4 linked regions of the Pelodiscus sinensis genome follow. The protein of the gene in region 3 interacts with the protein of the main gene of each other region in a pairwise test. Links are inferred from orthologs where the notes say so. Each region holds a gene or a part of one and is shown on either strand. Other genes may lie near its edges.

Region 1 (7,086 bases), on a different chromosome or scaffold from region 3:
TTGCCGAGCTTGCCCAGTGCGTTTCGCTGCCCTTGGGGCTGGCCACTGACGGTTTGCTGGATCTGGAGTGAGCCAGCCCAGCCTGTGCACCTGGTTCTTACTACATTTCAACTGTAGAGCTGCAGCGGGGGTAGCCCCTGGAGGCTTCTAACCCTATTGACTAATTGTGTGGTACAAGATTAGCTGATTCTTAACAGCCCTATTTTCTAGTAGTAACTGTACAATGAGAACAGTATCAGTTATATATTAATATATCATAAAATGAAATGGAATGAACAGTTTTACAACATGATAATTCTACAGGGTTCTGTCAAGATTCTTTGTGAAGAAATTTCTTATTTTCTCATTTGGACAGTCTTGTGTTAAATCTGCTCTGTTCCTGATCCTGATAAGGTTAGACAAGGAAATTCATTCTATACTTCAGTATCTCCATCTGGAATATGGGGATAATACTGACATCTCACAGTGCAGTATGAGGATTAATTAATAAGTGCAAGGTGCTTAGATATTATAACATTAAAATGACAACTAGAGTGGACAAACTGACTTTTCTGTTAAATACTAATCCTTAAACAATTGAGAGAAACTTTTCATATAAAAGCTTGTTTCTAGATTTATAATGTATGTAATCCTCTAAGTAATCTTTGAGTCAGAGTGGATCATTATGGCTTGCCATTTTAAAATTTTATTTATCCTTCCTATGTGCTAAAAAACAGGCTATATAAATTCTTAAATAGAAGAAAAAATATACATTTCTGCTTGGAGAAACGTTTGTAAAATAGGCTAGATGTACTAAACAATGTTTGAACAAACTCTCAATTTATGAAATAAAGTGACTTGTTACGAACCAACAAAACTTTCCATTCATCATAAACCTAACTTGTTCCGGGACACAAATTAACCAGAAATAATAATAATAATTATGGCTCGCCAAGCAGCGGCGAGCTCTGCTCGCCACCTGCACGATTTCACGTGGTTCTGCACATGTGCAGATTGCTCTGCGCTGGCTCTTCCAGGTTGTAAGCTACTTGCCACAGATGAGTAGATTACATTATTTGTTGAGCCCTGATAATAATAAATAATAATAATAATAATCATCATCATCATGTAAGCCAGTACATTTTATTGTATTGGTTTAGTGTTAGAAAAAAAACCCAGAAGAGGTCATGAAAATTACAGTATTTTTCAAGTTGAGAACTTTCTGTACTAATGTCATGCAATTAAAGTATGTCAAATTTGTTTTATATACTCTCAATAATCTTGTCACAGTAGTACTGTATACTTTTAATTAATCAGAGAGAATACATGTTTTAAATTATGTCTTTCTACAAAGGCTGCCTACCAGTGCCACTTTATTACTGGCGCACAATTTGAAAAAAAAATTAACCCCCCCCCCCACAAAAACCCCAAACCTTCAGCCATTTAAAACTCCTACTTTGTTTATCCCTAAAATTCATACTTTACATTTTCAATTATCTTTTGGAACAATGACGAACCCGGAAGAGATAAAGAAAAGAGACTTTTGTGAATGCTGGGTATTTTATTTCCTACCAGCTATATACAGATCTTGGATTTCAACTGGAACACTGCAAACCCAACAGACACTCTATTTAGCACTTTTTCTGTTCTCTTACTATGAAAACACAGGAGATGTTACCATATATTAAAACTCTCCTCTCCAGATTTTTTTTAACAAAAAATTGTATACAGTATGAACTTTAAAAGAAAATCAATATTATCTCGGTACCAGATCCTACTTCCTACCTCCCTTGTGCTACAGTATGTGAACTATTCAGTTTTGTAAGAGTTCACATCTACCTTGTTAACATACACATGCGATGCTGCTGAATAGTAGGCTCAATTCTTGAAGACACTAAGAACATTCAACACCCCATAGAAGTGGAGGGCTTAGCACTTTGCAGCAACAGACCCATCATGGTGAAGAGTATTTTGACAAAGGGTCTGGATCCGCTCCAACTGACTCCAGTGGGAGTAGGCCCTAACCCCATGCTCTACTAACCTGGTTGCGTGTTATCTTAAGTCTCCTGGATCACAGCCCATTGCAACCCAAAGGATGCTCTCCTGTCTACTGACCGACGCTCTTCACTTCACGGAGCAACAATGGCAACGCGAGCTGCTATCACAATAGCCAGGAATAACTCCGTGCCACACTCAGGGGAGGCTCTCCCCACTGCTGCCTACCACACACACTCGGGTCCGTAACGTTCGCAGGAAGCCGGGGCAGGCCCTGTAGGCCCCGCCACGCTCCCGCCCGTGCGGGTGCCGGCATCCCTGGCCGCAGCGGCGCGGAAGGGGGGGGGGGGGGGGGCATTTCACCGCGAAAGCCTGCTCACGAGCTTCCGCCGCGCCCGGCAGGGGCTCGCCGGGATGCAGCGCGGAGGCTCCAGGCCGCCCCTGGTCCCCCACAGCGCCGGGAGGGCAGAGGCCCAGCCGTGCCCTCTCCCCCTTCCCTCGCACAGCGGCGAGGCATGTCCCCCCCCCCGCAGGGCGAAGGTCTCGCAGGCCCCAAGCCCGCCCGCAGCTCCCTCAGACCTCGGCGGCCTCCCTCATTCGACCTCCCCTCAGGCTCTCCCAGGCCGCCGTCCAGCCCGGGCCGCTCTCCTTCCCGCACAGGCGGGGGGAGCCGCCGCCGCCTCCGGGCCCTCCCCTGAGGCCCGGCGCACGGTACCTTGTAGAAGGCCCCATTGGAGCCCCGCACCTCCACCACCAGCTCCTCCATGTTGTGCCGCGGCGGCTCGGTGCGGGATGCCCAGGCCCGGCGCCGCCTCTCTCTCTCCGGGGGAGGGTGGGGGGGAGCCTCGGTTCGCTCCGTAGCCGGAGGGGTGGGGGCGGGTCGGCTCCGGTCCTCGCCCGCGGCTGCCCGGAAATGAAAGCGAAACGGTCACCACCCGGCGGCGCGCGGGGGGGGGCGGTAGGAAGAGGGGCGCCCGCTTCGAATGTAAACATTAAACCCGCATCACGTGACAGGCCCCCCGATCGGGGTGGGAGGGGCGGGAAAATCAGCTCGCGCGAGCACGCCCCGCTCACGTCCACCTAACGGCTAGCCCGGCGCGCCCCTCCCTCACACACACACTCTCTCTTCCCCCAGCGGCGGCACGCAACCGAACCTCACGGCGCGACGGCATCCCACCCCTGCCGCTCACGCTCTGAGCGACTGCACCGCCACCCAATGGCGGCGCGCCATCGTCGTGCGCCGCGGCCAATGGGAGTGCCCGGGAAGGAGGCCGCGTGACCCGTCGAGGCGCCTGTTAGCACGGCGTTCAACGGCCCTCGGGAAGAGACGGGTAAGGGGGCCGTTAGTGGAGTTCGCGAGGAGAACGGAAGGGGTAGGGCTTGTGGCGCCAAAATAACGAGCGGGCGAGGCGGGGGAGAGAGGCGGGAGGTGCGGGGTGGGTGGCGGTTCGGGACCAGGAGTGGGGGAAGACCCGGGGGGGAGGGGTCTGAGGTGCGGGACCAGGAAAGGCGGAAGATTGGGGAGGCTGGGAGGGAGGGTTGTGGGGTGGGACCAGGATAGGCGGGAGGCTGGGGCGGGGTGAGGCGGGAGGGTTGTTTTGTGGGGTCGAGGGTGCGGGACCAGGAAAGGCGGGAGGCTGGTGGAGGGAGGGTTGTGGAGTAGGGCTGCGGGTGGGGCGAGAGGGTTGTGATGTAGGGTCCGGGACCAGGAAAGGCGGAAGACGGGGGAGGCTGGGGTGGGGTGGGGGAAAGGGTGAAGAGAGGCTTGTGGTGTGGGCTGAGGGTGGGGGAGGCTGGAGGCGTGGGACCAGGAGGGGGTCAGACTGGGGGGCTGGTGCTGGGTGGAGGGAGGGCAGTGATGCATGGCTGAAAGAGGGGAGAGGCGGGGGGGAGGGTGCAGCGCGTGGGAAATGTTGGCTGAAGAGGATTGTGGCTTAGCTGTCCTGGGCAGAGCCCTGGGTGGTTACAAAGTTGGTATCTGCCAAAAGAAAAAACCCATGGATGCTTACATTTGCCAGTGCTCATACCTATAAAACAGACATCCACAGGCTTGCATTTTTCTAGATACACAGTCTCTATCTGCCAATATGAGCCGGTGGGTATCTGTAACCACATACCACAGCTGCCTGTGATTTGCATCACTCTCATCATGCAGCAGGTGAAGTTGAGTTTTCTGTGCAGTGGTGCTAGGTTTAGATGCACAACTAAAGAAGGCCCTTGGCAGTGGAGGACTAAGCTGGCTAATCACCTGCCACGCATTTTGCACTAATTGTTTGATCTGAATTAAAACCCTGCAGGTGCTGTTAAGAAGGGGCCTATCTTCCTCTTGGGGATCTAACCCAAGCTCAGTTCTTCATGTTGAGAGTAAATGGAGGCTGTAGCTTGAGTTGTCTGCCCTTGTTAGCTGTTTCTCCTCCGACCTAGACCATTTCAGATGTTCTGCAGATCAAATCCGAAAGAGAGCTCAGGAAGCCCTTGTTAAATACAGGTGGCAATGTTGGGGACTGTTAGTGCTATTGCACAACTTCCACTCTTGGCTTGGACATTTATTGAAAGCACCATGCAATACAACAAACAGATACATTTAATACAAATTGTATCCCAACATAATATGTAAAAATGTACAATAGAGTTCAAGCAAAGTAGTATCTATTGCTTATGCGGAGTTTGTACACAGATGGTCTGGATGAATCTTCACTTACGGGATATATTCTTGGTGCTATTCAATAATCCTATATTAAGACTATGAAGCTATATCTACACTGCAGGTATTTGTCGGCAGAGAGTATGCTAATGAAGCACTGTCATGTACATATTCTCCGCAGATGCTTTTTGCGCAAAAACAAACAGTGTAGATGGGTCTGTTTTGCGCTAAAACCCACTTTTGCGCAAGATCTCCTATGCCTAAAAAAAGGCGGTATACAGGTTCTTGCGCAAAAGGTTTTTTTTGCACAAAACAGACCCGTCTACACTGCTTGTTTTTGTGCAAAAACTTGTTGCGCAAAAAGCATTGGCAGAGAATATGACAGAGCATTGGCAGAGCACTTCATTAGCGCACTCTCTGCTGACAAATACCTGCAGTGTGGATAGCACAGAAATCTCATGTTTTGCAAATATTCCTTTTGGTTCAATGGTTTCCTTTGCAAGTTACAGAAATAATATCTTTGTTTGTCTTAGTACTGTATCTGATTTTACCCCTACAAACTGCTGGATTTATTTAAAAATTTGTAGGGTGTGCTGTTTAAATGCATTATAACTCTGAGATTTTATTTTACATAAACACCAGATTTACAAACAGAGCAGTCAACCACATCCCTAATTTGGAACCAGAAGAACGCAATCAGGCAGCAGCAGAGACTCCACCCCTAAAAAGCAAATACACTACAATACTATGTTAAATATAAGCTACTAAAAAATGGAAGATTAAAAAAAAATTGGCACGGTAAGGAAACTGATTATAATGCTTGTTTCATTTAAATCAAGATGATTAAAAGTGTTTCTCTCTCCCCCTTCCCCCCACCCTGTAAGGTGTCAAAGCTTTATTAAGTCAGCGCTTAGATGTAAACTTTTAAAAGAACAACCATAATGTTTTGTTCAGAGTTACAAACCTTTCAGATGGTATCATGAGCTTTCGTGGGCACAGCCTACTTCTTTAGATGTGGTCATCTGAGGAAGTGGGCTGTACCCACAGAAGCTCATGTTAGTCTGTAAAGTGCTACCAGACTATTAGTCTGTACAGGGTAAACTTAAAACACAACAAACTCGGCTATCCCCTGAAGCTTTTAAACTTCTCAGAGTTAGGGATGTTAGTGAGTAGTCAATAAGCTTATGCTTATTGGGTAGTTGACTGGAGTATTGACTACTTTCTAGCCCTGTCTGCAGCCAGCCCTGGCTGCCATGAACAGAAACTGGTGTCAAAGCAGCCTCTGTTGGTGGCAGACAGAGCTGGCTGCTGCCAACAGGGCTCCTGGACTCAGCATGAGGCAAGACAGAGCAGTCCTGGCTTGCACTGGTCCGGGATGCTGTGCCTCTGCATTTTAAATGTAGTAAGAGCCCAGCACCTCTTACTACATTTAAAATGCAGAACTGGAGTGTGGGTGGCTCCTGGGAATATTCAGTCCTGGCTAGAGCCGGCTCCTGGAGCTACCCCGCTGTGACTGTGCAGAGTGGTCCTTCTTGACTAACCATGAAGTAGATAAAAATATTGACTACACAATTAGTCAGATAGCTGCAATTGAACATCCCTATTCAGTGTTATGAACAACTTCCGTTCTCAAGGTGTTTATAACTAAGGTTCTGCTGTACTCAAGATCTGCATGCACAATAGGGCTTGAAATCTGATTTATAAATATTAAATGATATTTTATATCAGAGGCAACAGCATAGGGGAGACGAGGTAGGCGGGAGCAGTTACGCACAGGGAGCCGGCTTAAATGCCGGCTCCCCACGCACACCAGCTCCCGGGATGTCTACTGCCACCTTGTGTGAAACGACTGAAATTTTCAGCAGTTGTATGGTTACTTAAAATATATTTTAACATCTTGACTATTATCCTCCAGATACCATGGTGCTACAGGTGAACTATAGATAAATTTTATAACACTACATTAAAGACACATTAAGATTGCAAGGTAATACACTCAAAAGTTAGGAAATGCCAGAAGTAAACTTGCATGTGTGAAAGTATTATGATAGTCAGTCATCTGGTATAATGAAATACTATTTTGGGGCATATAGATTTTTCTGCTAATTAAGGGACAAGAAGAGGAGGGAAATACTATTTTGATACACTTGTAAACTTTTGAAAATGTTAATTTGTTTGTCATGGCCATGTCTTCTGGGACAAAACTTATGACTCTAGGTGTGTCTTTGGACAAAAGCCATGCTTTAATATTTCGGCCCCTTTGAAGACAGTGATAAAACTGTTGATGTCAGGAAGTCCAGTATTGCACATGGTTTCTTTCATCTTCATCACTCTGTTCTTGAACAAAACACTTCCATGAGTGTTTACAGATTTCTGTGTATGCACTCACTCTAGCATGTAGGCAGAGGGTGGCTGCTAGTGTTAAACTTTTAAATATAAAAAATTTTAAACACATTTTGATGTGAAAA
Region 2 (7,253 bases), on a different chromosome or scaffold from region 3:
CTGGTTTGAAGTGGTTTCCATCTTATGTAGAGTTTACAGTTCAGTCCGGTGGTTCTCAGCCCTGCCCCATACACAGTATTCCAGCCCCGCTGTTAGGGGTCAGGCTCTGATCTGGGGAGTGCCCAGCTATTTGCATTGAGAGATCGGGGGACAGTGATGTGAGGATTTCGGCTTGGTCCCTAGAACCTCTGAGCGCAGGGGATTTAAAGCAGGGGGAGCAATTTCTCAGTGGTTCTAGGGGTACAGAGAGTTGCAGATGGTGGTTTAGGGGGTAGAAATTGGGCTGTCAGAGCTTGGGGGTGGTGGATGGCAGCGGATTGATGTGCAGCCTCATCCAGCATCTCAGAAGTTGCTGGCTCCCGGCTGACCTGCCCTGGCACCCCCCACCACCCTATTTGTTATTGTAGGGTTCCCTTGCTGATTTGTTGTAAGGCAACACAAATGCTGGTGCCCTTGTGCAGACCTGTGTGTTATTGTAGGGTCTCTCAGGCATACGGGGGGGGGGGGGTTGTTGATTACACCAGGGAGCCCTGGGAAGGACACTTTTATTTTGGTAGGGTCGCACAGCAACAGGCGGGATTTTTAATACACCACCACCCCCTGGAGGTCTGGTTGAGGAATTGCACCATTTGGGACCCCAAGTCTCCGTGAGGTAAGGAGGACAAGGAGAGGCAGGCGCCCGCATGCCAGGTGAGGCAAAGGGCACCTCTTCCAAGAAAACCCACCCCTAGCATGTAAACCTTGCTGCAGGCTAACAGAAAAATTCCAAACCCTTCCCCTGGGATGCAGCCATCTCTGGGGAGGGACAGAGAAGTAACAGCCCCACATTTTAGGAGGGGGCTCCCTAGGCCAGTTACAATCGCAAAGCACGGTGGGCTGTAGGGCGAGACTACAGTAAGCTGTGTGGGAATTAGGCCAGGACAGCAGCGGTGCCACCGCACCTCGTGGGAACAGGACATGAGGATATTTACAAACTTCCCCCGCGCCCGGCCCGATACTGCACCAGGGTGTCAGGATCAACCCTGAGCGCCGGGGGTCAGCGCCCCCTACAGAGCCCCTGCTCTGCTCCCTTGTTCCAGCGCTAACCCTGCCTGACCCTTCAAGATCAGACAAGCGCCTTAGTGAAGGCCGCTCCCTCCCCGCCAGCTGTCTGCAGCCTCTAATCCAGCAGGAATGCATGACGCACGCATGCCGGCAGGCCTGTGTCATAGGCCCAGCCCCCGGCCTCAGGCCTGGGAACTGCCAGGCCCCTGCCTGCCTGGCTACAAGCAGCCATGGGGGACAGACACCGAACCCACCATCCTCCTGGGAGGGACTAGAAACCCTGCCAGAGAGCAGTGGGTTTCAACCTTGCCCCACCCTGAAAAATTTCAAATGGTGGAATAGACCCCTTGAAAATCTTAGCCATCTCCTGGGTACCCTGAAACCATTGACAGAGTGACATGGCCCCCGTAATGCAGAGATGTAACAGACGGCTGAGGCGAGTTTGCCTGTACCAACACCATCCCCTAGTCCCCAGACATTAAAATGCAGTACCTAGTTTGCCTGTAGCAACACTGCCCCCAACAGGTAGAGACTGTGAAATGCTATTGCTAGTTTGCCTGTCCCGACACCGCCCCCTAGTCCCTAGAAATTAAAATGGAATAGTTAGTTAGCGGTGTTGCTACAGGCGGTGACAGTGAAATGCTACAGCTAGAAAAACTTGAAAAACAACAAATAGTCTAGCTGCATCTTAATGACAAACAAAATATGTAGATGGGATCCTGAGCTTTTTTGGGTATAGCTCTCTAGCTAGTTTGCCTGTACCGATATGGCCCCCTGGTGGGGGGACAGTGAAATTTGATAGCTAGTCAGCCTGTAGCAACATTGCCCCCTAGTGGGTAAATTAATGGAGATGCCTATCTCCTAGAACTGGAAGGGACCTTGAAGGGTTCAGTTGAGTCCAGTCCCCTGCCTTCACAGTGGGACCAAGTACCATTCCTGACAAATTTTTGCCCCAAATGGCCTCCACAAGGATTGAACTCACAACCCTGGGTTTAGCAGGCCAATGCTCAAACCACTGAGCTATCCCTCCCCCTCTAGCCCCTGCCCATCTGCGGAGCATACAGTGAGGGGGAATCTCCTGGCCAAAGGCAGCTTCTGCCCCATGGAGCACTGGAGGAGGGGAAAAAAAAAGAGGATCGGGACTAGGAGTGGGGAGAGGGCTGGAGCGTAAACAGCAGCGCAGCTGGCAGACAGATGGTGCCTCCTGGGGTATCAAGATTGGGGTGGGAGGCAGTGTGCATGCAGCCAGTCATGAACGGTGACCCCCAGGTGAATATCGCCTGGCAGAAAATCCCAGTCCCCTAGTGGGCCCGATCCTTGCTTTTCTTTTCCTTCCCTAAACTTTCCGTGGACCCCCTATAGTACCATCACAGACCCACAGGTTGGGAACCACTGCTATAGCTAGTTCGCCTGTACCAACACCACCCAGGCGAGAGACACAGTGAAACACACTAGTTTGCCTGTACCAACACTGCCCCCTAATGGAGCAAATGCCCTCGGGAGTGGGCCTGTATCAACACTGCCCCCTGGCGGGGAGACAGTGAAACGCTGTGTTGTGTGCCTGAATTAACACTGCCCCCTGGCGGGGAGACAGTGAAACGCTGTGTTGTGTGCCTGAATTAACACTGCCCCCTAGTGGAGAGACAAGAGAAACGCTGTTTTGTGTGCCTGTACTAATACTGCCCCCTAATGGCGAGTGGTGGTATAAAACCAGTAGTGTGCTCAGTGGATTGTTCCATAGTGCAATGCCGTGGCTAGTTTGCCCGTACTAACCCCGTCCTCCGGCAGGGAGTACCGCAACGACCGGCTTGTCTGCCACAGGCTCTTGAGTGTTCGCAGAGCAGCGTGTTTCTGGAATAGCAACAGGTCTGTCCCCTGCACTGCCGAGCTCTGGTCTGTTTCACAGTTAAGGACACAGAGGAAAAGGACAAATGACTCTCGATGTCAAGTGGAGAGTGGAAAGGAACCCAAGAATCCTGACTCCCAGCCCCCCCTTTTCCTTGCCCCCCCCTGCTCTAACTACTAGACCCCACTCCTCTGCCACAGCTGGAGAGAGCCCAGGAGTCCTGGCCCCCTGCTACCCCTCTGCTCTAACCATTAGACTCCTCTCCCCTCCCCGAGCTGGGGGGAGAACACAGGAGGCAGACAAGTGTGTAAAAGCAGCAGCGACTTTTCTTTTTTAATTTTGGGAAAAAAAAAGTTCTCTCAGCTCGCACAAAAATCAGAAATACAAAAATACTTTATCAGCTTTGGGCGAAGACGACCATGTTAAAAAAACCCTTCGGTGCTTAAAAATAAAGGGTCCCGGTTAAGGCACTGGGATCCCCTGCCAGAGCCAGGAATCGAACCCAGGAGTCCTGGTTCCCAGCCCACTTGCTCTAAGTCCTAGGCCCCCCATCTCCTGCCAGAGCTGGGGATAGGGATAGGACCCCCCCAGTCCTGACTCACAGCCCCCTGCTCTAAACCTTTCCACTCCCAGAGCTAGACCAGAATCCAGGAGTCCTGACTCCTAGTTTCATGCCCAGCGACTGGGGTCCTGGGCACAGAACGAGCCACCCCTCAGCCCCTGCCACCCCACAACCGGGCTGCTACTCACTGCTGAGACCGCCAGCAAGAGGGCGGTGAAGTGCCCAAAGGAGACGACTGGTCCGGGAACCCGTCAGTGTGAACCACAAGGCACAGAATGGTGGGCGGGCGGGAATGGCTTTTGGCTCCTAGGGAAGAGAGTTGGAAAAGGGACCCCCCCCCACAAGGGGAAAGGTGCCACGTCCCAGTCCTCAATCTCCTGAGCCAGCCAGTCCCCCACCCTGGTGTTGGATCAGAGCCCGAGCCCCCCTACAGGGGACATGCCATTCGCCAAGTCCAGAATAAGCCCCACTCCCCAGTGTGTGACTGAATTCTGCACAGATTTATCGTTGTTTTGTGTTTCAAAACACACTTTCAGAGACTCTTTCTGCAGCCACAAGTGCGGCTCGAAACAAAACATGCTGGGTAAAGCCGCCGGGTAAAACCCAGGAGTCCTGATTCCCAGCCTCAAGTCAAGCCTCCGACCATTAGATCCCACTCCCCTTCAAGAGCTGGGGATGGAACCCAGGCGCCCCGCCTCTCAGCCCCCTCTTGCTCTAACCACTAGCCCCCACTCCTTTCCCAGAGCTGGGAAAGAGAACCCAGGAGTCCAGGCTCCCCAACCCTTTCTTGCTCTAACCACTAGTCCCCACTTCCCTCCCAGTGCTGGGGACAGAATGGAGGAGACCTGCCTCCCAGCCTGCCTTACTCTAACCACTAGCCCCCACTCCTCTCCCAGAGCTGGGGATTGAACTTAAAAATCCGATGCAAGGAGGCTGGCGCCTAGTGGTTAGAGCAGGGGGGGGCTGGGAACTGCTGTCTCTGGGAGGGAGTGGAGCCTAGTGGTTAGAGCAGGGCTTGGCTTGGCATTTGCAGACGCTAGGCACTCAGAGGAGCTAATTCTACAGGAACTAGTGCAGGACTCTTGAGCTCAGAGCCTCAGTGCATGGTAGAGGCCCTGGCCCCTCAGCTCTCCTTGGCAGCCGCCGGGCCGTTGCGGGCCAGCAGGTCCCCATAGGCAGCCTCCTCGCGGGAGAAGACCAGGAACTTTTTATCCAGCTGGGCGCGCAGGTAGAGATAGTCCTGCTGGTCCAGGGCGTGCCCGCAGCTCAGGTAGAGGGTGAAGAGGCTGGCCAGCAGGAGGCGATCCAGGGACAGGCAAGGCACCACCCACAGCACCAGCAGGAACTCCAGGTAGACGGGGTGGCGGAGGTGGGAGTAGAGCCGCAGGACTCGCACGGACTTCAGCGCTAGCGGGTCTCCCATGCCCAGGCAGTGGTAATAAACCTGGGGGAGGGGCAAAGGGCAGAGCTGAGACACGCCCTGCTCCAGAGCAGAGCTGGATCCCTGCTGGCGCCCCCTAGGGGAAAGGCTCCATGTCGCCTTCACAGCCAGCCAGTCCCCCAGGCCGGAGCCACATTGGATCTGGCGCCCCCTAGAGGAGAAAGGCTCCATGTCGCCTTCACAGCCAGCCAGTCCCCCAGGCCGGAGCCACATTGGAGCTGGCGCCCCCTAGGGGAAAGGCTCCATGTCACCTTCACAGCCAGCCAGTCCCCCAGGCCGGAGCCACATTGGATCTGGCGCCCCCTAGAGGAGAAAGGCTCCATGTCGCCTTCACAGCCAGCCAGTCCCCCAGGCCGGAGCCACATTGGAGCTGGCGCCCCCTAGGGGAAAGGCTCCATGTCGCCTTCACAGCCAGCCAGTCCCCCAGGCCGGAGCCACATTGGATCTGGCGCCCCCTAGAGGAGAAAGGCTCCATGTCGCCTTCACAGCCAGCCAGTCCCCCAGGCCGGAGCCACATTGGATCTGGCGCCCCCTAGAGGAGAAAGGCTCCATGTCGCCTTCACAGCCAGCCAGTCCCCCAGGCCCGAGCCACATTGGATCTGGCGCCCCCTAGAGGAGAAAGGCTCCATGTCGCCTTCACAGCCAGCCAGTCCCCCAGGCCCGAGCCACATTGGATCTGGCGCCCCCTAGGGGAAAGGCTCCATGTCACCTTCACAGCCAGTCAGTCCCCCAGGCCGGAGCCACATTGGATCTGGCGCCCCCTAGAGGAGAAAGGCTCCATGTCGCCTTCACAGCCAGCTAGTCCCCCAGGCCGGAGCCACATTGGATCTGGCGCCCCCTAGGGGAAAGGCTCCATGTCGCCTTCACAGCCAGCCAGTCCCCCAGGCTGGAGCCACATTGGATCTGGCGCCCCCTAGAGGAGAAAGGCTCCATGTCGCCTTCACAGCCAGCTAGTCCCCCAGGCCGGAGCCACATTGGATCTGGCGCCCCCTAGAGGGGGAAAGGCTCCATGTCACTTTCCACACCCCTCCTGAGCCAGGCACCTCTCCAGCCCTGGCTGCGTGGGGCCGAGATACCTGCTTGACTCCCATGAGCTCGGCGTAGTCGAAGATGAGGATGACGCTGAAGATGACCAGCCAGGCGATGAAGTGCAGGATGAAGCAGAGGAGCGGGACCCAGGTGTCCCAGGGCTCCGTGCAGGCGTCCCAGAGCAGGGGGCCGTGCCGGACGGGCTGCCAGTACCGCATCAGCAGCTGCGGGGGAGCCCCATTTGAAATGGCTCTGCCGGTGCCCCTCAGTCCCGACCCAGCCTCGGGCTCCCCCCAGCTCTGCCTGTGCCCCTCACCTCCTCCCACAGCCCCCTGCCCTGGGCTCCGCCCCCCCATTACCTACTAGCCCCCCCAGCTCTGTCGGTGCCCCTCACTCCTGACCCGCAGCCCCTGCCAGCCCTGCCCAGTGCCCCCAGCATCGCTCACTCCCAACCTGCAGCCCCTGGCTAGTCTGGCCCTGCCCCCTGCCCCACCCCCAGCTCTGCTGGTGCCCTAATTCAGCCCCAACCCACAGCCCTCAGCTAGCCCAGCTCCGCCAGTGCCCACATAGCCTGGCTACCCCAGACCCTGGGATCCCCCCAGTTCTTCCGGTGCCCCTCAACCCCCACCCACAGCCCTCTGCCTTGAGCTCCCCTCACTCCCGACCTGCAGCCCCTGACAGTCTAGCTCTGCCAGTGCCCCTCACTCCCAACCCCTCCTAGCCCAGCCCAGGGCTTCCCCCAGTGGGTACCTGCAGGGCCAGGGAGGTGCAGAAGACGTAGAAGGATCGCTGCAGCACCCCGAAGCAGCTGGCAGTCCAGCGCTTGGCCAGCGCAGTGGCCATGAGGCTGTGCTGCAGCACAAACAGCATCACCAGCCCCAGGTCCATGGCCAGGGGCTGCAGTACCCGGGGGTCCTGCAGGGCAGCTCCCCACTGCGGGCTGGGGGAGGCCTCTGCAAAGGGGGAGACAATGATTAATGGGAGGCAGAAAGTACCCAGGAATGAGCTACCCATTTGGGTCCCTCCCCTCCTCTCCCCCAGAGCCCTGCTCCCTCCTCTGCCCCCAGTTCCCTCTTTGCTCCCAGCTCCTGCCCTAGGCCCCAGCAGGACCCAGCTTAACCACCCTGCCTTGCCCATGGCTTCTGCCCCCCGTCCCAGCTCTCCGGCATTCCCCCCTAACCTCTCCCCACTCTGCTTCACCTGGGTCTCCCCTCTCCTGCAGCCCCCACTATTCCCACAACCCCCGGATTGGGAGGAGCTTTCCCCAGGATCCACCCTGTCTCCCCAGAGACCAGCCTCCAGGGAGGGGCTTACCCTGGGTCTCCTCCCTT
Region 3 (6,834 bases):
TAGGGGTGGTGCAGGGCTGTTGGCCAGGCGACATTTAGAGTTCCAGCCAAAGCCTGACTCTGGCACCTGTGCCTCTCCTGCACCCCACTCCCTCCCCCAGTCACCATCCAAACCCTCTGCAATCCCTGTCCCAAGTCACAACCCCCTCCCAAACCCTGTATCCCCTGTTATACCCCGTCCCCCAGGCCAGAATCCTCTCCTGCACCCAAACACCCTCCTAGACCCTGCACCCCAATCCCCTGATCCAGGTCACTTCCCCCTCCACCCAAACTCCCCCTCAGACCTCGCTGCAACTCCTGCCCCCCAGCTCCTTACCCCAGGCACCCTCTGCACCCAGCCTCCATCCTAGAGCCCACATCTCCTCCACAGAAAAGTGCAGCCCTTGACCACATTGCAAAATCTTGGAGTGGCCCCCCATCAAAAATTATTGCCCAACCCTGTTCCACACCCAAACTCAGGATGAAGGTCTCATGTTGGTGTCCTAAATATTTCCCTATCTAGGGACAGACATGACCAAATAAGTACTACAGAGAGCCCAGTCTGCACAGGCTCGCTCTACCTGTTTTTTTTAAAGTCATAAACTTCTAGTAACGATCACACAGATGGGAATGTGAAAGAATGTAGTAAGGCCTACCACAGGCGGCTCTTACTGCATTTAAAAGGCTGAGCCGCAGCAGAGTAGGTCCGGGATCCAACGCGAGCCGGGACTCAGCAGTTCTAGCTCACACCAGGTCTGGGACCTACCCAGGAGCGGCCCGAGGCCGGCAGCAGCAGCTGGTGCCCCAGGCAGAATGCGGGATCGGCGCCCCCTCCTGCATGGCCATCAATGGTGTGATATCATCATCGGGTGCTCCGGGCGCCCTGTGACGTCATCATCAGGCGCCCCAGGCGCCCCATTAAAGCCAGCGCCCTAGGCAACCGCCGAGTCTGCCTATACTCATGCGCTGCCCCTGGACCTATCCCCACTGCAGCTTTGTAGTGTAAATGTACTAGGAGCCAGGCTGCCTGTGTGCACGGCTCCTACTACGTTTCAACTACAGAGCTGCAGCAGGGCCTTTTATCGACTAACTGTGTACTCAATACAAGTTGTATTAAATACACAATTAGTTAATTACCCACTTCTTAACATCCTTAGTTACAACTCCCTCCTTCACCCGAACTCCCTCTCAGACCTCACACTGTCTCCTGCACCCCATTCCCTTACCCCGGGTACCCTTCTGCACCCAACCTTCATCCTAGACCCTGCATCCCCTCTACAGAAAAGTGCGGCCCTTGACCAGTTTCCAAAATCTTGGAGTGGCCCCGCACCAAAAATTATTTCCCACTCTGACTCAGAGGATGGCTTTTCAATGCTTGGCTTTACAACCTTAATAATGTTATTTTAAAATAGGGTTTTTTGGGAGGAGGGGGAATTGCATGTAATTTAAGCATAATTTTCTCAATACATATGTATAGATTCCTATGTGTGTATCTAACTACTCTCTGTATATTCATGTACAGGCATGGAGACTCCCAATTACTGAAGCTGGAATGTACAGTACATATATTTCATCATGGCATAAATGCATGAAGTTTTACTGAAGAAATGAACTCTACCTCACTCACTCCTGAGTTTTGCAAAAGTCCGCTCACCTTTTATTGAACAGTCCCTACTCTCAGCCCTTCTAGCAAGCCAATTAATGCCAGAATAAGAATTTATGTTAATATTCAGCGAACATTTGGTGTGCACTGTCAGACTGGAAAATTCAGTATGATACCATACAGCTTATCAGCGCTAATGAGATCATGCCTATTGAGTGCATAACTACTTTTGGTTTTGTATCCAAAATTTTATTACTATGGTTAAAGGGGTCATAGAAGTACTTCAAGTATTAGTTCAAGTATTTCAATTGTGTGTTAATGAACATACATCATAGTTATAGTCTCTATTTAGTCACATTTTAAGGCTTCTAAATGACAATGTGGGTTTCTTTCTCTCACAGAATCAAAACTGTCGGTCATCACTAAGCATATTGAAGCCATTTTAGACGTTGTAACCATTGGTGTGGTTTCCAAATTGCCATTTAAAGCTCTTGCTGTTTCTGTTAGTTCCTATCCGGTCACATTTTTTCTGTGATTTTATTGATTTCCTGGCAGTTAATTGTTAAGCTAACAACATTGTATTAAGAATATTTTCTCATTTTTTTACCTTTTCAAACGTATCAGGAACAAACAGCCAATTTCCAGCAAGATGATAGGCTCACTGGCCTCTTGGTTTAACAGACATCAAATAGAGGTGAACTGCAAGAAATTTTGTGAAAAACATTCCATCCTCCAGAGTTATATTTGTGTAACTGAGAACTCAGTCTAGCCTTCTGCTTTTACACACAAACACACAGTCACTGAAAATATGAAAGTGGAATTTAGACTTAACACATTTTGCTGTAACTAAAAATATTGATAAAAGGCAGAAAATATATATGCCACAGGCAATAAAATATATCATGTTTATATCCCGAGTGTCATGAAATATTAAAACATTAAACAGGACAATAGTCTTGAAACATATTGAAAAAAAGTCTAACTCTTTCATAATTTAACAACCAAAAATTCTGTTTTACACACTATAAATTATCTGCTACTAAATCAAAAAATGAAATATCAAGTATTTTGCCTAGAATATTGTAATTCAATTACAGAAATTAAAACAAGTATAATTAAATGTGTTTGGAACACTCCTGCCAAAAAAAGAGTCGGGATTATGTGGTATGTTTAATTTACAAACATAGATACAATTATAATGCAGTATGTCTTGAGCCCTTGAGGTTCAATAATCCAAAACACATAAAATCAACTCATACTGCCTAAAAACTTGCCTTATCTTAAGAATCCATACATTCTTCTTATAACCCAGATGAACCAAACTTTACATCTATTTTTCCTAGCACAAATGAATTCACATGAAGGTAATTCCCTGCCAGTTTCCTGTGACTGCAGCTGGAAAACTTATTAAAGTAATTCTAAACAGTTTCTCAAATGACATGTCAGCTGTGAGCAAGAATGACAAATATAGATCTGTCCTTCAGCTTCACACTACTTAAGTGTCACCAGGATGAATGTCATACACTGAAAAAAATGACTCCAAAAGTTTGTGGGGTTCCCAGGCTTGATGTATTTTAAACAGACATGGAATGCCCCCTTAAAAACAGAGAACTCTGTGCAGATATTATTAAAAGCATCTGATGTGTCCATCAGCGAATCTAAATATGATGTTTTGCAAGGTTGTGAGTCAAGAATAAGCAATATTTTTTGTACCTTATGTAGGGTGCATAGTCCCTCTCTCTCTTTCTCTCTCTGCCTCTCCCTCTCCCTCTCTGTGACAGGCAGGTATGCACTGACCTAGTTAAGTTTAAATATCTGTTATCTTCTTCATAAAAGTTTAAATGGCACAACCCTGCTCCCACTTCAGTCAGTAGAATTACTGCCATTTATTTCAATGGAAGGCAAGATCAGACTCTAGAAAGCATTATGGTAAAAGTAATTAACTTGTATCTATATTTTTAATTGCAATAATTTATATAAATATCAATATATACAACTTCAGACTACCTGGGGGCTGAAAATAATAGAAAAAACAGCTGCTAGCTAGGTAAATGCACTGCTCATCTGATTAAAGAATAGCCCCCATATTATTAATAATAATTATAAGAAATTATTTAGATTGCAGTAGCCCTTGTGATGTATGAGTCCACACACAAATCCACTGAAATTGAAATATGTAATACTCTGTAGCTTGCAAACAAGCCACAGAATGAGCATTAACTGCAGGTCTTGAATGCCATTCAAATTATTCACCTGTTTCCTTTCTTTAACTGGCATAGTTTTGTGCTTAAAAGGACAATGAAGTTATTGCAGCTTCATAAATATCTGTTGTGTTTCACTGACCATGCAGTCCCACAACGGAAAATTCTGTACCTTGTGTTATTTTTTAGTTTCCTCCTTTCTTTTTCTCGCTCCTGCTGTGATCCTCCCAAGTAATGAATTATGAACTAACTGCTAGTGTGTCCACGCTCATTCTGCATAGTCCCCTGGCATTTCCTCTTATTGTTTAAGTCAGAGAGGAAGTACTTCCAAATGAATGATGCAGCCAACCTCAGTATTTTGTCTAAGAGTGTCTGTATTCATTTTCAAATTAGAAGCAAATGTTGCTGTTATCTTGCTGCAAATCTGCAAAGATCTCCTTAAGGTGCCCTGATGCAAAGCTGGCATACATGGCACATGCCCTTATTTTGTAAGGCCACAACAGACTATTGGGTGAAATTCACTGTTGTACGGTGCCTGAAGCAGGGTTCTGGACCACCTAAGTCAGGGGTCTCCAAACTTTTTAAGCATAAGATCACGTTTTGAATTTAAGTGCAATTCAAGATCTACCTCAAACCCAAACACCCTTGCCCCGCCTCCTTTGTGCTCCTTGCCCCGCTCTCCCTGAGGCCTCACCCCTGCTCACTCCATCCTCCCTCCCCCATCCTCATTCACTTGTACCAGGCCAGGCTAGAGGGTTGGGGTACAGGTTCTGGTCTTGGGTTACGGGATTTGGAGCTTGAGGGACTCTGAGCTGAGCTTGGGCTAGGCAGTTGGGGCGGAGGAGGGGTTCTAGGTTCAGGCTCTGGGAGGGTGTTTAGATGCATTGGGGCTCAGGATTAGGGCAAGGGCTTGGGGTGCAGGAGGGGGTTCATGACTGGGGTAGGGTTTCGGGATGTGGGCTCCAGCTGGGCACTGTTTACCTCAGATGTCTCTTGGGTGGTGATGCAGTGGGGCTAAGCCAGGCTTCCCCCTGCCCTGGCCCTGCACCACTCCCAAAAGCAGCCAGCAAATTATATCCCAAATCCTGTTGTGCCCCCCCTCCATTCTGTGGAGATAGGATAAAGAGTGGGAGAAGGGGCAGATTGACATCAGTGCCACCTCCTCTCCCTGCCCTGCATAGAAAGCAGGAGGCTCCTGGGGGAACAGCTCCAAGGCAAAGGGCCGGAGTTGTGCAGCAGTTGGAGGAGGAACAGCTGACGTGCTGGCACTTGATAGCCGTGTGGCCAAAGCAGTCAGGATCACCTGTCAGAGGCCCCAAGATCTACCAGTAGATCCCGATTCACTGGTTGGTGACCACTGATTTCCTAATTCCTACTTAACCCCTTAAAAAAGGAGCTATTCATGGGAATCAAGCCTTGTGCCGATCCTCTACACAGAGCTGCATTTCACCTGCAGTGTCTCTGATTAGTTTTTTGCATGCTTCAAGTTGCTCAATTTGAAGGAAAACGTGGTGTTTGCTTATAAAGTGAGTGTATCGGTTTGAAAGTAAGTAAGTTCTATACTTGCAGCTCTTCTCACTTGATACCTTGACTGTTTTGTGTCAAAGATCCCAAATGATAGCACCTCATTTCAGGGCTCAGACTGAGTTTTTATGCATTGGTATGCTATACCGTCACTTTTCTAGTGACCCCATACGTTTCTCCAGCGGCAGATATAGGGCAGGGCGAGTGGAGCAGCTGCCCCGGGCTTCAATAGGCCCCGTACACGTGCTACTACCTGTCGAATGTGGCCGTGGCGCATGCGCAAAATTATGCTGCCCCGGGCCCCGCAGTTCAATAGGCCCCGCCTGCACTCTGGGCCCCACAAAACTTTCATCCGCCCCTGTGTTTCTCTATCATTTTTGCTCCCCTTTTAAATTAAGAAGGCTGAGACAATCTTCAGAATTTGAACTGTTGCAATGTTGGGTCTATAGATTGGGACCAGTGTTCCTCATAAGCTGACCTCTCAGGTTGCCACTTAGGAGAGATTCAGATGCTGCCCAGCTGATTAGCAGAGCACCCACCACTTCCCATATCTGGCAGTATGTGTTTCTAGTGGTGGTGCACATTGTGCATGCTTTGGCGCACAAACAAAATTTATTCTGCATGTGGATGGAAAAAATTAGAAGGAACACTGATAGGGACACTAGCTTTAAGAGAGATGTGGGTTTCCTCCTTTACCTGAAAGGGGTATTAATGCTGAATGCTAATAATTACAATTTAAATATCAATGTTGTTAACTCTTTTTCCGCTGATTTTGGCAGAAACATTTAGCAACTCTGGTGTTGAGGGCAAAGTACTATCACCTTTTCTTTCATTGTGACCCCAGCTCAGTATGATCTTTCATCCAAAAATTGCCATTTCTAGTAGCGGCATCGTCTTAATACCATGCTGAGAGAAAATAGTGCTGAATTGCTACTACATCATTGTAATCTCCCATCCATCAAATGAACCTCTCCAGACTGCCTTAATTTATAAGAGCTGATACCTTTACAACAGTATTATATGACTGCAACTGAAGATAACCTTCTGAACATCTTACTAGTGTTATTCTTTCCAGAATCAGGTCCTAGATTTGCTATATACTGTACACAGCTCTGTATTTCTTCTTCTGCATCTAAATGACAATGCCTTTTGAGTCAGTGGTTTTTATTAGTAAAGTATCGGTTATCTATGCAATTATATTTGTCACATATCCCGGATAACATGTATTGATGTCTTTCCATTCGTGACTTAACCAGGGGCAGATGACCGTTTTGCGGGGCCCCGGGCAGCATAATTCCGCAGGGACCCCCTTTGCCATGGCGCATGCACAGTGACGCCATGCGCATGCGCAGCGGTGCCACGGCGCATGCGCGGGGCTTTCTGAAGCGCGGGGCCCGGGGAGGCCGCCCCGTTCACCCTGCCCTATATCCGCCCCTGGACTTAACAATTGCTCTTGATTTCATGCAGAAAACTCCTCAGTGGTATCTAGATGCCTCACTATCACTGAAATCAGTGACGCAGACAAGAC
Region 4 (7,788 bases), on a different chromosome or scaffold from region 3:
CGGTTACAGCAGGGCCGGGAGGGCAGTGGGGCGCAGGGGTTACAGCAGGGCCGGGAGGGCAGTGGGGTGCAGCGGTTACAGCAGGGCCGGGAGGGCAGTGGGGCGCAGTGGTTGGAGCAGGGCCGGGAGGGCAGTGGGGCGCAGCGGTTACAGCAGGGCCGGGAGGGCAGTGGGGTGCAGCGGTTACAGCAGGGCCGGGAGGGCAGTGGGGTGCAGTGGTTACAGCAGGGCCGGGAGGGCAGTGGGGTGCAGTGGTTACAGCAGGGCCGGGAGGGCAGTGGGGTGCAGCGGTTACAGCAGGGCCGGGAGGGCAGTGGGGTGCAGCGGTTACAGCAGGGCCGGGAGGGCAGTGGGGTGCAGTGGTTACAGCAGGGCCGGGAGGGCAGTGGGGCGCAGCGGTTACAGCAGGGCCGGGAGGGCAGTGGGGTGCAGCGGTTACAGCAGGGCCGGGAGGGCAGTGGGGTGCAGTGGTTACAGCAGGGCCGGGAGGGCAGTGGGGCGCAGCGGTTACAGCAGGGCCGGGAGGGCAGTGGGGTGCAGCGGTTACAGCAGGGCCGGGAGGGCAGTGGGGCGCAGGGGTTACAGCAGGGCCGGGAGGGCAGTGGGGCGCAGGGGTTAGCGGGCAGCCTAGGTTCTCTCCCAGCTCGGAGGGGGGTAAATGTTTGTAGGGAGTAGAACCCGCAGCTCTCTGCCTCTCCCCAGTGCTGGGGATATTTCCCAGGGGCCAGGGGCCTGGGGCCTGGGGCAGGGCCAGGCTGTGACAAGCAACCCAGCTCCCGTGCCCCTGCAGTGCCCACAGCAGGCGACATGAGCCCCTCCCCCCAGTGGGCAGCCAACCTGAGAGCAGGGCAGTCTGGCAGCAGGGCGGGGGCCGGGCCTGCCTCAGCCCTCCTGGGCACCAGCCTCAGGCCTGGCTCTCCCCTCACGCCCCTCCCGCCTCGTCCCATGGTCCTGCCACGGGGAAAGTTGGGCCCACGAACCCAGCAGTCCCATGACAACCTTACCCGGGCATTGTGCAAAGGGGGCACTGGGGGGCACTGGGGGGGCAGGGGCTGCAGTGGGGGGCGCTGGGGGCAGAGCTGGACCGGCAGGGGCTGGGGGGCGGGTGTGGGGAGTGGGACGGAGGGGGAGGGGCTGAGGCGCTCTGCTCCCGTCTTTCCCATCACGATGGAAGTCACAAGGTGCCGCGTTCTGGGAGCCGAGGGTCCCTCCAAAGCCGCATCCTGCCCCGGCCTCCCCCCGGGCCAGGGAAGGACACAGGGCCCTTTGTAGCTGCACCACAGACCTTTATTCCCCCGGCGCCCCCGCCCCTGCTCCATTTCTGGGGCTCCTGGCTACGGTGACCCAGGTGTGGCTGCCACGGCTCCGAGAACCAGGACGGGGGGCTGGGCTGTGGTGTCCCAGACCTGCCCCCTCCCCGCAAACCCACTTCCCCTTTTACACGGCTGCTTCCGCCCCCGCTTCACGTTTGGAGCCATTTAAGGCAAAAATGTCAAGATCTGCATGTTCGGCGGTTTCACAAAACAGCCCCCCCCCCCCCCCCCGGAAACAGAAAGGGGGGGGCAGACAGTTACCTAAGAAGCGCAGGGCGGGGCTGGCGAGGGGCCCCGGCAGGGCTGGGCCGGCAGAGGGGGGAGGGGGTCACTAGCAGGGATGGGGGCGGGGTTACCTTAGCCAGGGGCAGCACCATGAAGGCCCCTCCCCCACTGGCCTCCACGACAATGGCCAGGAACTTGGGGTTGACGGTGCAGAAGCCGCTGTCCCAGGTGGTCTGCGAGACGCGCACGTCGTCGTAGGACTGGTCGGCCTTCGCCGGCTGCCCGAAGACGTGGCGGAACTTGCTGCTGCGCACCACCTGCCGGCTCATGGCGGCTGGGGGAGACGCGCCGTTAGTGCTGCCCTCGCGCCCGCCGCCGCCTGCCCGGCCGCCGCCCCTCGCGCCCGCCGCCGCCTGCCCGGCCGCCGCCCCTCGCGCCCGCCGCCGCCTGCCCGGCCGCCGCCCCTCGCGCCCGCCGCCGCCCCCTGCCCGGCCGCCGCCCCTCGCGCCCCGCCGTCGCCTGCCCGGCCGCCGCCCCCTGCCCGGCCGCCGCCCCTCGCGCCCGCCGTCGCCTGCCCGGCCGCCGCCCCTCGCGCCCGCCGCCGCCGCCTGCCCGGCCGCCGCCCCCTGCCCGGCCACCGCCCCTCGCGCCCGCCGCCCCCTGCCCGGCCGCCGCCCCTCGCTCCCACCCCCCCCATCCCCCTGCCCGGCCGCTGCCCCTCACTCCAGCCCCGCCACCACTCTGCCCCTCACTCCAGCCCAGCTGCCCTGCCACCCCGTCGCTGCCCCTCACTCCAGCCCGGCCATTGCCCCTCTCTCCCACCCTGCCGCTATCCCTTGCTCCTGCCCCACCACCCTCTGCCTGGCTGCTGCCCTGGCTCTACCTGTAGGTAACTGGGTGTAGCAGCATCACTCTGCAGAGACGGGAAGGGTCAGCCGAGAGGGCCCAGGACCTCCCTCCCTCCCACCCACCGGCCAGAGCAAGAACCCAGGAGCCTGGCTTCCCCCTCCCCCCCCCCGCTCTAACCATCAGACCCCACTGCCCTGCCCAGGGCCAGAACCCAGGAGTCCTGGCTCCCCCCCGCCCCGCTCTAACCATCAGATCCCACTGCCCTGCCCAGGGCCAGAACCCAGGAGTCCTGGCTCCCCCCCGCCCCGCTCTAACCATCAGATCCCACTGCCCTGCCCAGGGCAAGAACCCAGGAGTCCTGGCTCCCCCCCCCCCCCCCGCTCTAACCATCAGACCCCACTGCCTCTGCTCTCACCAGTTCCAGGCACTCTGGTGTGACAGTGAATCTGGAGGCTGAAACCAGCACCTTTTAAGGGTGGGGGTGGGGCCTCCCAGGGATAGCACAGCCTGGGGGGGGAGGGGCCAGGACACTCCCTCCCACTTCCCAGCCAGGGGCTGGGCGGGAATCCGCTGCCAGTGGCAGAGGGGTATGAGCCTGGGCACAGGGACCCCACCCCCCGCCTGTCCCCCCGTGCCCTGCTTGGGCCCATTTAGCTCCCCCCCACCTGCATCCCCTTACACACACCCATCTCCCCATGCCCTGTCTCGGCTCACCTAGATACACCCTCCCACCTCCACCCCCTTACACCCCCACGTGTCCCCCCAGCATCCCCTTACCCCCCCACCAGTCCCCCATGCCCTGCCTGGGACCCCTAACTACCCCCCACCAGCATCCCCTTCCACCCCCCCACCAGTCCCCCATGCCCTGCCTGGGACCCCTAACTACCCCCCACCAGTCCCCCATGCCCTGCCTGGGACCCCTAACTACCCCCCACCAGCATCCCCTTCCACCCCCCCACCTGTCCCCCATGCCCTGCCTGGGACCCCTAACTACCCCCCACCAGCATCCCCTTCCACCCCCCCACCAGTCCCCCATGCCCTGCCTGGGACCCCTAACTACCCCCCACCAGCATCCCCTTCCACCCCCCCACCAGTCCCCCATGCCCTGCCTGGGACCCCTAACTACCCCTCACCAGCATCCCCTTCCACCCCCCCACCTGTCCCCCATGCCCTGCCTGGGACCCCTAACTACCCCCCACCAGCATCCCCTTCCACCCCCCCACCTGTCCCCCATGCCCTGCCTGGGACCCCTAACTACCCCTCACCAGCATCCCCTTCCACCCCCCCACCTGTGCCCCATGCCCTGCCTGGGACCCCTAACTACCCCTCACCAGCATTCCCTTGCACCCCCCCCACCTGTCCCCCATGCCCTGCCTGGGACCCCTAACTCCCCCTCACCAGCATCCCCTTCCACCCCCCCACCTGTCCCCCATGCCCTGCCTGGGACCCCTAACTACCCCTCACCAGCATTCCCTTGCACCCCCCCATCTGTCCCCCATGCCCTGCCTGGGACCCCTAACTACCCCTCACCAGCATCCCCTTCCACCCCCCCACCTGTCCCCCATGCCCTGCCTCGGACCCCTAACTACCCCTCACCAGCATCCCCTTCCACCCCCCCACCTGTCCCCCATGCCCTGCCTGGGACCCCTAACTACCCGTCACCAGCATCCCCTTCCACCCCCCCACCTGTCCCCCATGCCCTGCCTCGGACCCCTAACTACCCCTCACCAGCATCCCCTTCCACCCCCCCACCTGTCCCCCATGCCCTGCCTCGGACCCCTAACTACCCCTCACCAGCATCCCCTTCCACCCCCCCACCTGTCCCCCATGCCCTGCCTGGGACCCCTAACTACCCCTCACCAGCATCCCCTTGCACCCCCCCACCTGTCCCCCATGCCCTGCTTGGGACCCCTAACTACCCCCCACCAGCCCCGGGGCTGAGGCTGGGGGGTGTTGGGAAATCAGACCCGGGGGGCCCTGAGGCTGGGGGGGGGGGAGGGGCCGGGGAATCAGACCCGGGGGGCCTTGAGGCTGGGGGGGGAGGGGCCGGGGAATCAAACCCGGGGGGCCCTGAGGCTGGGGGGGGGAGGGGCCGGGGAATCAGACCCGGGGGGCCCTGAGGCTGGGGGGGGGGCCGGGGAATCAGACCCGGGGGCCCTGAGGCTGGGGGGGGGGGAGGGGCCGGGGAATCAGACCCGGGGGGCCTTGAGGCTGGGGGGGGAGGGGCCGGGGAATCAGACCCGGGGGGCCCTGAGGCTGGGGGGGGGGGAGGGGCCGGGGAATCAGACCCGGGGGGCCCTGAGGCTGCGGGGGGGGGAGGGGCCGGGGAATCAGACCCGGGGGGCCTGAGGCTGGGGGGGGGGAGGGGCCGGGGAATCAGACCCGGGGGGCCCTGAGGCTGGGGGGGGGGAGGGGCCGGGGAATCAGACCCGGGGGGCCCTGAGGCTGGGGGGGGGGGGAGGGGCCGGGGAATCAGACCCGGGGGGCCCTGAGGCTGGGGGGGGGGGCCGGGGAACACCCGGCAAGGTGCCGGCGTGGGCAGGGGCGTGGCCAGGTGGAACAGTGGGCGTGGTCGGAGAGGAGCTCCTCGAGCGAGGGCGTGGCCTAGTACCGTAGACTGGGTCTGGGGGCGGGGCCTAAAGCGGCAGAAGCGAATGACAGGGCACAGCACTTCCGCCTTTCGATGACGTCAGAAGCAGCGCTCCAATCCGGGCGCGTAGCGGATGGCGGCGACGTGACGCGGGCCGTCGGGCAGCCCGTGCGCCTGCGCAGAGCCGTCGGGCGGGGCGGTTCCGGGTGCGGCTGCGGCAGCGGGATCGGAGCGCAGCGGCCATGGCGGCGGCGACAGCGGCGGCCCCGGGGGGGCCCGGGCCGGTGCCGGGGGCGCCCAAGCTGGGGGTGGAGTCGGTGAAGGGGCAGGTGTTCGACGTGGGGCCGCGCTACACGGACCTGCAGTACATCGGGGAGGGGGCGTACGGCATGGTCTGGTGAGCGCCCCCCCGCCGCCCGGGCCCCCCCCCCCGGGGCTGCGGGGCGCGGCGCTAACCCCGCCCCTCCCGTCCCCGCAGCTCCGCCTACGACCACGTGAGCAAGGCGCGCGCGGCCATCAAGAAGATCAGCCCGTTCGAGCACCAGACGTACTGCCAGCGCACGCTGCGCGAGATCAAGATCCTGCTGCGCTTCCGCCACGAGAACATCATCGGCATCAACGACGTGCTGCGCGCCGCCGCCATCGAGCACATGCGCGACGTGTATCCTGCCCCGCCCCTGCGCGCGCCCGCGCCGGCCCCTGCGCGCGCCCGCGCGCCCCGCCCCCCGCGCGCGCCCCGCCCCGCGGCCGTTGTGCCCCTTGACCCCGCCCCCAGCTACATCGTGCAGGACCTGATGGAGACCGACCTGTACAAGCTGCTGAAGACGCAGCAGCTGAGCAACGACCACATCTGCTACTTCCTGTACCAGATCCTGCGCGGCCTCAAGTACATCCACTCGGCCAACGTGCTGCACCGCGACCTCAAGCCCAGCAACCTGCTCATCAACACCACGTGCGACCTCAAGGTGGGCCCGCCCCGCCCCCTCGGCCCCGCCCCGCCCCCGCCCCCTCGGCCCCGCCCCGCCCCCGGCCAGTCCAACGTGCTGCACCGCGACCTCAAGCCCAGCAACCTGCTCATCAACACCACGTGCGACCTCAAGGTGGGCCCGCCCCGCCCCCGCCCCCGCCCCCTCGGCCCCGCCCCCGGCCAGTCCAACGTGCTGCACCGCGACCTCAAGCCCAGCAACCTGCTCATCAACACCACGTGCGACCTCAAGGTGGGCCCGCCCCGCCCCTCGGCCCCGCCCCTCCGCCCCGCCCCTCCCCGCCCCCGGCCAGTCCAACGTGCTGCACCGCGACCTCAAGCCCAGCAACCTGCTCATCAACACCACGTGCGACCTCAAGGTGGGCCCGCCCCGGCCCCGCCCCTCGGCCCCGCCCCCGGCCAGTCCAACGTGCTGCACCGCGACCTCAAGCCCAGCAACCTGCTCATCAACACCACGTGCGACCTCAAGGTGGGCCCGCCCCGCCCCTCGGCCCCGCCCCCGCCCCGCCCCCGCCCCGCCCCCGGCCAGTCCAACGTGCTGCACCGCGACCTCAAGCCCAGCAACCTGCTCATCAACACCACGTGCGACCTCAAGGTGGGCCCGCCCCGGCCCCGCCCCTCGGCCCCGCCCCCTCCGCCCCGCCCCCGGCCAGTCCAACGTGCTGCACCGTGACCTCAAGCCCAGCAACCTGCTCATCAACACCACGTGCGACCTCAAGGTGGGCCCGCCCCGGCCCCGCCCCTCGGCCCTGCCCCCTCCGCCCCGCCCCCGGCCAGTCCAACGTGCTGCACCGCGACCTCAAGCCCAGCAACCTGCTCATCAACACCACGTGCGACCTCAAGGTGGGCCCGCCCCGCCCCCGCCCCCGCCCCTCGGCCCCGCCCCCTCCGCCCCGCCCCCGGCCAGTCCAACGTGCTGCACCGCGACCTCAAGCCCAGCAACCTGCTCATCAACACCACGTGCGACCTCAAGGTGGGCCCGCCCCGCCCCTCGGCCCCGCCCCCGCCCCTCGGCCCCCGCCCCCGGCCAGTCCAACGTGCTGCACCGCGACCTCAAGCCCAGCAACCTGCTCATCAACACCACGTGCGACCTCAAGGTGGGCCCGCCTCGGCCCCGCCCCCTCGGCCCCGCCCCGCCCCCGGCCAGTCCAACGTGCTGCACCGTGACCTCAAGCCCAGCAACCTGCTCATCAACACCACGTGCGACCTCAAGGTGGCCCCGCCCCGGCCCCGCCCCTCGGCCCCGCCCCCTCCGCCCCGCCCCCCGGCCAGTCCAACGTGCTGCACCGTGACCTCAAGCCCAGCAACCTGCTCATCAACACCACGTGCGACCTCAAGGTGGGCCCGCCCCGGCCCCGCCCCTCGGCCCTGCCCCCTCCGCCCCGCCCCCGGCCAGTCCAACGTGCTGCACCGCGACCTCAAGCCCAGCAACCTGCTCATCAACACCACCGTGCGACCTCAAGGTGGGCCCGCCCCGCCCCCTCCGCCCCGCCCCTCCCCGCCCCCGGCCAGTCCAACGTGCTGCACCGCGACCTCAAGCCCAGCAACCTGCTCATCAACACCACGTGCGACCTCAAGGTGGCCCCCGCCCGCCCCGCCCCGGCCCCGCCCCCTCCGCCCCGCCCCCAGCCAGTCCAACGTGCTGCACCGTGACCTCAAGCCCAGCAACCTGCTCATCAACACCACGTGCGACCTCAAGGTGGGCCCGCCCCAGCCCCGCCCCTCGGCCCTGCCCCCTCCGCCCCGCCCCCGGCCAGTCCAACGTGCTGCACCGCGACCTCAAGCCCAGCAACCTGCTCATCAAACACCACGTGCGACCTCAAGGT

Evidence for each region.
Region 1: the proteins of FSD2 (region 3) and FMR1 interact in binary tests that used the Homo sapiens proteins (3 or more experiments, as listed by UniProt). The link is inferred for Pelodiscus sinensis from reciprocal best matches to the Homo sapiens genes FSD2 and FMR1.
Region 2: the proteins of FSD2 (region 3) and PPP1R18 interact in binary tests that used the Homo sapiens proteins (3 or more experiments, as listed by UniProt). The two-hybrid records come from large-scale screens. The link is inferred for Pelodiscus sinensis from reciprocal best matches to the Homo sapiens genes FSD2 and PPP1R18.
Region 4: the proteins of FSD2 (region 3) and CORO1A interact in binary tests that used the Homo sapiens proteins (3 or more experiments, as listed by UniProt). The two-hybrid records come from large-scale screens. The link is inferred for Pelodiscus sinensis from reciprocal best matches to the Homo sapiens genes FSD2 and CORO1A.

The regions. Positions count from the first base shown.
Region 1 is NC_134723.1:40,628,127-40,635,212, reverse strand, and holds the start of FMR1 (fragile X messenger ribonucleoprotein 1), read right to left. Parts: upstream 3,007-7,086; 5' UTR 2,741-3,006; coding exon 2,690-2,740; intron 2,686-2,689; exon of another isoform or gene 2,532-2,685; intron 2,465-2,531; exon of another isoform or gene 2,021-2,464; intron 1-2,020.
Region 2 is NC_134742.1:11,552,954-11,560,206, forward strand, and holds the start of PPP1R18 (phostensin), read right to left. Parts: upstream 3,018-7,253; 5' UTR 2,818-3,017; intron 1-2,817. Other genes in the region: NRM (nurim), read right to left, coding at 4,576-4,896, 5,970-6,146, 6,673-6,875.
Region 3 is NC_134724.1:20,217,473-20,224,306, reverse strand, and holds the start of FSD2 (fibronectin type III and SPRY domain-containing protein 2), read right to left. Parts: upstream 3,013-6,834; 5' UTR 2,856-3,012; intron 2,382-2,855; 5' UTR 2,189-2,381; intron 114-2,188; exon of another isoform or gene 1-113.
Region 4 is NW_027465967.1:95,096-102,883, reverse strand, and holds the start of CORO1A (coronin-1A), read right to left. Parts: upstream 3,003-7,788; 5' UTR 2,803-3,002; intron 2,452-2,802; exon of another isoform or gene 2,422-2,451; intron 1,873-2,421; 5' UTR 1,868-1,872; coding exon 1,670-1,867; intron 1,292-1,669; exon of another isoform or gene 1,286-1,291; intron 1-1,285. Other genes in the region: MAPK3 (mitogen-activated protein kinase 3), read left to right, coding at 5,220-5,374, 5,456-5,638, 5,753-5,942. UniProt on the Homo sapiens protein: May be a crucial component of the cytoskeleton of highly motile cells, functioning both in the invagination of large pieces of plasma membrane, as well as in forming protrusions of the plasma membrane involved in cell locomotion.